Schizosaccharomyces pombe: one gene and its partner. Changing the gene in region 2 together with the main gene of any one other region gives a genetic interaction. Each region holds a gene or a part of one and is shown on either strand. Other genes may lie near its edges.

Region 1 (4,773 bases), 500 kb from region 2:
CTAAAGTTGTTAGACTAAAAAGTTGATACGCTCACATTTACCTTCTTCAAGTCTGCATTCTTTTTCCTAGTGTCCACATTAATTGACTGCAAATTTGAAAGAAGACTATCATATAAACTCATGAGTGTCTGCTTTAATTAAAGAATCTAAACCCCTTTTCATGCATGTAATTCAAGGGATTTGGAAACGGAGTATATACCACACTCAATGAGGGCTGTTGAGGTATTAATTTGCGATGTTCACTGGATTGCTATAAGGAGCTTAACAGAGTAACGCAAGATTGGTATTACGAATTGTATAAACACTATATTATATAACATCTAGTTTATTTTATGAGAGCAAAATAAACAATAGTATAAACCAGATAAAATAAAGCGCTCGTTTAATTAGGCGCTTGATGAAAGGTTTTTTAAAGAGGTGGGGAGAATGATAAAAAACTTGAACAGTATTAAATGAGAATAATCATGGGTAAAGCAAATGGAACAGCAATTAGCAGAATGAATAATTTCAATTTGGTGAAGGATCGAATGGTTTTAGCCTCTGATTTAGCAGTTAACGTATTCCAAAATTGTTGACCTCCAGGATGTTCACGTATATCGTATCCCAATGGAGCTAACAAGGTAGGCAAAACATAATGAGTAGTAACTGTAATACTTGGAACAAATGTTATTTCTGGAAGAAGAGTCGCTGTAAACTGGGGTAATGAAGTTTCGATTTTGCTGGTAGGATATAAAACCTTTAATGAACGTTAGTAGTCTTTTAGACAATGAAATAACTTACAATGGGAAATCCGTTAGTGATGACAACTTTAAGCGTGCCGTCAGTGTTCACAACATATTTTTGGTTGTTAATGATATCAAAAAACGTGTCCTTAGGAGATGCGCCAAGCGGTTTGAAAACGATTGATAGACGCTCTTCGTTATGAATTCCATAGTTGTTCAAAACGGTAATAACATTCAACTTTTGAACAACTATGTGGTGAATTTTGACGCTTAGGATAGTAGATCTAGTGTTCACATAATTCTCTTCCTGACGTTGAACGGACTTCCTGAACCGATTTAGGATACCAATAAGCTTATAGTATACATTCTCCATATCAAAATTTGATAGCCAAAGAGCTTCTCTATTAAACGGATCATGGTAACTGTTGAAATTTTGTTCGGTACCATAGTAAATAATGGGTATACCGTCCCACATCATCACAAATGTAATTGCATTCATAATTCTTGCTTGGTCGGTGTTATTGTGGCTTATTCTTGGTAAGTCATGATTTCCAATAAACGTTCCCAACACATTGATATCATTGCACTCTTCGTTTATTTGGTTAATTGCGATTGCTAAAGCCTCGCATTGAAGACCAGTGTTGTTGAATGCCCAAGTAATTGGCCAGTAAAGAGGGAAATTGAGGAAAGAGTCTAAACCAGAATTTTGGTAATCACAGGCTTCTGCTGGCGAACCAGTGAAATATTCGCCGATTGTAAATATATCCGCTGCTTTCGACATTCGTAACCAGAATTCTATCGGCGCATGCTTAATTGCATCAAACCTGATACCATCGATATCATATTCTTGCACAACGTTTTTTATCCATTTCTCTAAAACGCTCAAAACTACTTCGTTTTCTGTATCAACATCAGCCAACAGTAAATTCTCATCACCAAGCCAGCACTATATCATATAGTTAGTTCACTGTCGTTCTAAAAAACAATATAACGAGACTTAACGACCTGTACAGGCTAAGTCTAGGTTGTAGGAAAAATCGTTTAGTCTGTATAATTTGGCATACATTTTGAACACTTTCAATGTCGTTGCTTTCATAATCAACCCAGCAGTGAGGATGAAAGAAAGAAGCATCATTGAAGGGTATAACTTTTTCAAAGCTCATTTGTTCCAGCGGTCCGTTTATCGCCATAGAATTGATAGCCACGTCTAGTAAAATCCATATGTCGCGTTTATGCAATTCTTGTATTAGCTCCATAAATTCTTCCTTTGTTCCAAAGTGGTGATTAAGCTCATAGAGGTTGGTTGTCCAATATCCGTGATAGGACGAACCGTCAATATCATTTCCTTCAACATTTTCAAAGATTGGTGAGATCCATATCTATCATTATGTTAATCAAGTATTTGGGTAAAAATACATACTGCGTCAAATCCCATGCCTTGGATGTAATCTAGATGATTTCGAATTCCATTCCAAGTTCCCCCGCAGTACATAAATCGAACGGGATCGCATGGAATTCTCTCTGTTGCACCTTCTTCTAAAGAAAATCTGTCGGTGATTATTTGATAAATTGATCTGCGTTTCCACTCTTCAGCAGAATGTCCTGCATATGCTGGAATAAATGCAAAAAGCAGCATCCAACCAATTCTGAGACATATATTTCTACGGTAATTCATTATTAATCAATTTTTTTACCTTTTGGTTTCTGATTGAATTATGGTGTTGTTTGTAACAATTTTGCTTCTTAAATTTCAGAGGAGTTTGTGTGAATGCATGTAAACAAATACGTGTTTACTTTTTATTTGCGCATAGTCAACAACGATTGTTATCAAACAATTAGCTATTTGCTACTTTAAATTGCGCACACATCACTACTGTTGTTTTAGTAAACAAACAATATAGTTTGATTATATTCATATTCAACATTTTGTTTTGCGCAACACATGGACATACTGAAATCAGTATAAGATAAATAACTGAAGAACCAGTATTTTTTTTCTTTTTCAAAGATTATCTATTAAAATTCTATAAAAGAAACTTCATTTTAAATACTAGAGTGATCGTTTTTTCCCTTTAATCACTAGTTTAAGTCTGAAGACTTTACCTTCTATCTTTTGTGCTCCTATCAAATTTGTTAAAATCTTTTTACTTTTTCAACTATTTAACTAGATTTTTACACTTAGGGATATGGCGTACCCTCTTGTTGTTTCTTTCTTTTTGTATATTGTTATACTTGACAAACATGCTTGGTGCGCTCCTTTCAATAATCTCCTTACTGATTGGAATTTGAACACTAACGTTTCTGCTCTTGATCCATCGGATTATTGGGGTGAATGGGAGAATCATGAATTTTTTCCTAGCCCAGAACATTGGAGATTTCCCATTTATACTATTGCTATTGACAAATGGGTCGATGGAGATCCAACCAATAATGATTTTAGTGGAACAAGATTTGAATACGACATTTATGAGACAGAATTTAGAAACGGTGGAGATATAATTGGTGTGCGTCAATCTTTAGACTATTTGCAAGGTATGGGTGTTAAAGCTGTTTACTTTGCTGGGACACCTTTTGTTAATATGCCTTGGGGAGCTGATCAGTATTCTCCTCTTGATTTCACGTTACTTGATCCTCATTTAGGGACGATTAACGACTGGAGAGGAACAATCGAAGAAATGCATAGTAAAGGCATGTATGTAATTGTGGATCTCACCGTTGCTACATTAGCCGATCTGATAGGTTTCGAGGGTTTCACAAACACTACTACTCCGTTTACTTTTATTGAGCATAACGCTCTTTGGAAAGGAGAAGATCGGTATGCTGATTGGAATTTCACAAATTCGTGGGACCCTGACTGTGAATTGCCTAGATTTTGGGGCGAATCTGGTGAACCTGTGGTAGTAGAATGGACGGGTTGTTATAATTCGGACTTTGACCAGTATGGTGATACTGAAGCGTTTGGTAGTCATCCTGATTGGCAACGTCAACTCTCAAAATTTGCATCTGTTCAGGACCGGCTTCGTGAATGGAAACCTTCGGTAGCATCGAAACTCAAGAGGCTTTCATGCTTGGTGATTTCTATGCTTGATGTAGACGGTTTTCGCATTGATAAGGCTACCCAGATGACAGTAGATTTCCTTGTAGATTGGGCCAAAAGCGTTCGTCTCTGCGCAAATCGATTTAACAAAAGTAATTTTTTTATACCTGGAGAAGTCACTGGTCCCTCAAGCTTTGGAGCTATATACTATAACCGGGGTAGACAGCCAAATCAACGTCCCGCAAATTTAATCGATGCGCTGAATGCTACTTCTTCTGATAATGTTTACTTCCTAAGAGAAGAAGGTGAAAATGCTTTGGATGCATCCGCTTTTCATTATTCAGTTTACAGGATTATTTTACGATTCTTGAGAATGGATGGTTTAATGGAGATCCCTTACGATCTCCCTGTAGATTTGGCTGAAGCATGGCACCAAATTGTGATAAATGAAGATTCTTTCAATCCCAAAACTGAAAAATATGACCCTCGCCATTTATACGGTGTTTCAAATTACGATGTTTTCCGCTGGGCATCGGTTGCTGATGGCTCTCGCCGATTAATCTTAGGAACAATGATGACATTTTTTTTGTTTCCTGGTGCGCCTCTAATATATTATGGTGATGAACAAGGACTGTACGTTTTAGATAACAGTGCAAACAATTATTTATATGGCAGACAATCCATGGCTGCGGCTCCGGCTTGGTATATTCATGGCTGTTATTCTGGATCATCTTCTACTTACCCTGCTATTGACTTAAGTCCCGCGAAAATTGGTTGTTTAGATATTTGGAATTCTTTAGATCATTTTGACCCTTCAAGAATTGAGCGACAATTATTTATAGAGTTTCAAGATATCAGGTCTCGATATAGTGCGCTCACTCACGGCTGGAAATCGGAACTTTTAGGAAACTGGACCAATATTGAATATCTGCCAAATAGCGGCATAAATCCCTCCAACGTTGGTACGTTTAGTATGGTGAGGGGTGCCATTAATTCATTGCAAAATATAAGCTC
Region 2 (4,231 bases):
TGGAAAATCCACCAAAGTCAATGTGAGACTGTAAATGACAATAACACAACAACATTCAAAGGAGTTAAAGAACCTTTAAACCCCCCAGAACCTTCTCCTAATGTTATCTACGTTAATGGAAGAATCCCAAGTTTAGCAGAAGAGGCATTGCCAAGTGAAAGTCTTTTGGAATCTATTGTCGAAGATCCTAGCATAAAAAATTTAATTGAAAGTAATGCCGAGCTTTTACATATAATGAAAGAATTAGTGAACCTTGACCGTGAGGAAGAGGGTTCTGTTCCTCTGAAAACCTTAGATGCTATTCAGCAACAGCGGCTACACAATCCATCTTTCGAAAAACTGGCATCCATGATTCTGGAAAAATATTATGCTCAAAAATAATGGGTTTTATCATTGTAACGAACATTTAGAAGATTCAATTCAAATCGCATATCGGTTATTGGAAGTTGAAATATCAAAGGCGATATTTGAACCAAGGCGAATTGTTTACGAAAGCAACACATCCATTTAAAATTTTTAAAAGTAACAGCGTTTACACGATGTTAATACATAGCAAATACTACTTTTTGGTTTAACTATGAACATTAATATTTATTCAATACAATTTCCTCTCCTGAACCCGTTTATTTTAGTTCGATGTTAAGTATATTGTTCTATACCCTCATAATCTCGTAAACCCCATCAATCTGGTAAGCAAAACAGATCCTTCCGTAGCTATAGCAAGATGTGATCCATCTTGGTGCCAGCAAAAGTCAACGATGGGCATACCTAATTGAATAGGAATTGAATTCGAGTCCTTTTCATATGTATTAATGAGCTGTATTAAGCCGTGCTGAGAATGTGCCGTAGCAAAGTAATCCATGTAACGGGGATGTGGGCAAGCACCAAGCAAGGATGGGAACAATGAAATGCCTTGCACGTTGGGCAGTAGATTTTTGGGTCCCAATTTCATAGTGGAATCCGAGATTTCATTGTAATCGTTATTAGCAAAAAGATTCCAACGAAGCCAAGCCCCACTTTTACACATTGCAAGTATACCGCTTCCATCACTTCCGATCCATCGAACGTTAGCTAAAGAGGAAGCAATGCCGCTACTATGACAGGTGTTAACGAGTGGCAGGGTATTCAAAGTCAAAAGCCATGGATTTTTAACCAACTCGGTTTGAGAATTTTCTTCAGCTGATAAATTCAAAGTCCAGTCAAAAATCCTAATATTACCATTCCTTTCTCCAACAATCAATTGATTAGGATTAGATGGGCGAAATTGGACACTAATACCAGGGGAAGACAATGGGTATCCAGCTAAAATAGGCCCTTCATCAGTCAGTCTCCATATAATCAACGTACAATCGTCGCCCACAGATGCTATCACCTGCTCAGCGAGACGATTATCAGCGGAATAGACGTCTGCAATATCGATATCATTCACAAAATTATGATGCCCAGATTTTCCGCCCAACACATGTTGAGTAATAATGGTTTCATTCTTTGTAATTATTAGACGAACTGTATTATCCTGACACACACATGCAAGAAACAAAGAATACACAGGTGAGGAATTCACATTTCCATCGCCATCATGCAAATTCTCAGAATAACTACAGCTAGATGAAAAAGAAAGATGCAAAGTGGGTAACCCAGTTTGAATAGTGAACAACTCTTGTAATGTCAAACCTGTAGATCCGGGCGTCTGTTCTTCTGAAGCACAATAAATAGTGATACCCGTATCATGGCCTGTATAAGGTTAATCATTAGTTTAAAACGTTTAGAGGAATGCTATTTGAAGATAATTGTTTCATTAGCACTGAGGTTTTCTCAAATATTGTAACTTAGGAAAACAGAAAAGAAGAAATGAGTAATACGTAAATTACCATTCGTCGTAACATTCAGATATCTTACATACCTATGGCAAGAAGATTTGAACAGGAAGGAGACTGGGAACACCAAGTCGTTGTATACGGGCGGACATTAAGAGGCAATCTAATAAACAGAAGTTAGAAAGAGACATAAACGAAATAACGCTGAACGTACTGATACTGGTTAGAGGAAAGAGTCATGACGAAAAATAGTTTTCAAAAAAAACGGAAAGAATGAACGCTTTATTGTGCAGACAATAAAAAGATAAAGAAATTAAAAATGCATTTATATATACAAATGGAAAAAGAGAAGTTTCGGCCACGTTTTCTAGTGATATGGTGTTGCAGGTAACTAGTGGGTTACGTGAATTGGATGAAGCTGAAGAAAACGTTCTACCTTACGGAGCCAAAACTACCACCATTAATTTACAAAAAATCAAACGAAAACCTATACAAAGCAGTTTAGATAATGAAACACGATAAATATAACCATTTTAATGCAATTACTAAAATTTGTACTTATACTAAATATCTTTTAATAATTTAACTTATATTCAATTAACAAATAGAGTGTTTACTAAATACATCAAAATAAAACTATATGTAAAAAAACCAACACGATATTCCACTGATTTATTGCAGAACGAAAAGTAATAATTGCGTTCCGTATGAAGTATACAGCGGTTTTATTCTTTCCAACACGTTCCCCAAGCCAATTACATAAACCGTGACACAGGCTTGTGAATAGTGTGGATAAAAACGAATGTAAAGCATTGTAAACGACAAATGGGGTTTTTTATAGCATAATGATCATTTTAGCAGTCACATCTTCTCGTATAAACCAGATTTTGTGGAGGGAGTAAATGCAGTAAATATTGAAAATTTGAAAAAACCTTCGGAAATCTTAGCTTGGGCATTTCATTCTGAGCCGAAATCTTGGCAACTTCAAAAACCCAAGGGCTATGGCTATTCTTGCTTCAAGACTAGTAAAATATAATACAATCGAGTACTATCATGTTGGTGAATGATATTATGTTATTGACTGTAGAGCGTATATAACATGAGAATGTCACTGTACAATAACGGAATTTATTTACTTTAAAAATGTTGGCAAGTTGCAATACAAATTTGAAATTATTGCTTTGAACAGCCTTTGGGATTTATCGCTATGCTTACAACGAGCGGCATTGAATTTACTGGAGTAGAATGGCATGAATGTGTTTGACCAAAATGAGTATTATTACCATTATCCATTACAATGCCTTTATACAACTATCCGGCCTATAGAATAACAAAATTTAAATTTGACCATAGTAGCTGTTGACAGCATGTGGGCCATAAAGTTTTTACATACAGTCAAGTCCATACTAAGGCTAGCATCGGCAATGCAAAATATGCAGTATCACTGCCACGAATACCAGACTATACAACCGGAATATAATTAACACATCTCGCGATAATCTCATTCTTATTTAAATCATGAAATTTTTTTTTTTTGCTATCATCAAAAATTGAATTTATTTTGTAAATAAAAGCCAGGAACCGTTGAACTATGATTTTTAGTTTATTAACAATCTTCTAGCTTCGTTTTGTAAATCATGCATTGTTCGTTCATATAAATCCAAAAAGAAAGCGATGTTTTCAAACGTGAAGCATCTTTAAAATCATAAAGAGCATCAAGGAGCTTGTATACAAGCTTCCACTCAATACATTAACTCGATTCATTTACAAGGAATCCTCTTTATTCCTTTTTAACACCACCATCACGATTCATCCCCTCACGACGAGTTTCTTCGAGTACGTTTTCCGACCGTTGGCTAAATTCCTCTTTTATTTTCTTACCAGCATCTTTCGCCTTTTGCTGATAGTCGGTATCTTTTGCATCCTTGGCAGTTTGCTTTACCGATTGCTTTGCATTCTCAGCCATTTCCTGTGGTGACTTATCTTTGTTTTCATCTATCTTTTTCGAAGCCTTACCAGTTGCTTTTTTGACAGTTTGACTGATTTTCTCAGGTGCTTCTTCCAGTGTTTCTTTTATATATTGACGAATTGTTGTATTAGCAGGATTGGTTGCCTTCCAAGCGAAAGCAATTCTTGCAGCACGAAACGCCATGTTAACAATATGAAGATAAAAAAAATAAAGCAAAAAATATAAAATTTGTGTAAGTTTTAGTTACCAACGCTAGTGGGTATGAACTAAAACGTTATACTTTATCTGTTTATGGTGCCTTAGCAATTTTCCAATTCTGTTTTCTTTTTCAAGACGAAAAAAATTAAACAACAATAAATATGCTTTATTTGTTGTTATTGAGAAATCGTTTATTTACTTTACCCATACCCTTTGCACTGTATATATAGTACACCCCAGCACTTAA

What was found. A genetic interaction does not mean that the proteins touch.
Region 1: mutations in nup37 (region 2) and mok11 together harm fitness more than expected from each alone (negative genetic interaction), as found in Schizosaccharomyces pombe (one large-scale study listed by BioGRID).

What each region holds. Positions count from the first base shown.
Region 1 is NC_003424.3:4,372,591-4,377,363, forward strand, and holds the start of mok11 (cell wall alpha-1,3-glucan synthase Mok11), read left to right. Parts: upstream 1-1,772; 5' UTR 1,773-1,786; coding exon of another isoform or gene 1,787-2,101; 5' UTR 2,102-2,142; coding exon of another isoform or gene 2,143-2,397; 5' UTR 2,398-2,908; coding exon 2,909-4,773. Other genes in the region: SPOM_SPAC23D3.13C (guanyl-nucleotide exchange factor), read right to left, coding at 42-122; aah2 (alpha-amylase 2), read right to left, coding at 449-736, 781-1,668, 1,787-2,101, 2,143-2,397.
Region 2 is NC_003424.3:4,868,326-4,872,556, reverse strand, and holds nup37 (nucleoporin), read right to left. Parts: upstream 2,214-4,231; 5' UTR 2,058-2,213; coding exon 2,032-2,057; exon of another isoform or gene 1,981-2,031; coding exon 1,904-1,980; exon of another isoform or gene 1,831-1,903; intron 1,735-1,830; coding exon 662-1,734; 3' UTR 531-661; downstream 1-530. Other genes in the region: hit1 (HIT zinc finger domain-containing protein), read left to right, coding at 1-381; SPOM_SPAC4F10.17 (uncharacterized protein), read right to left, coding at 3,598-3,969.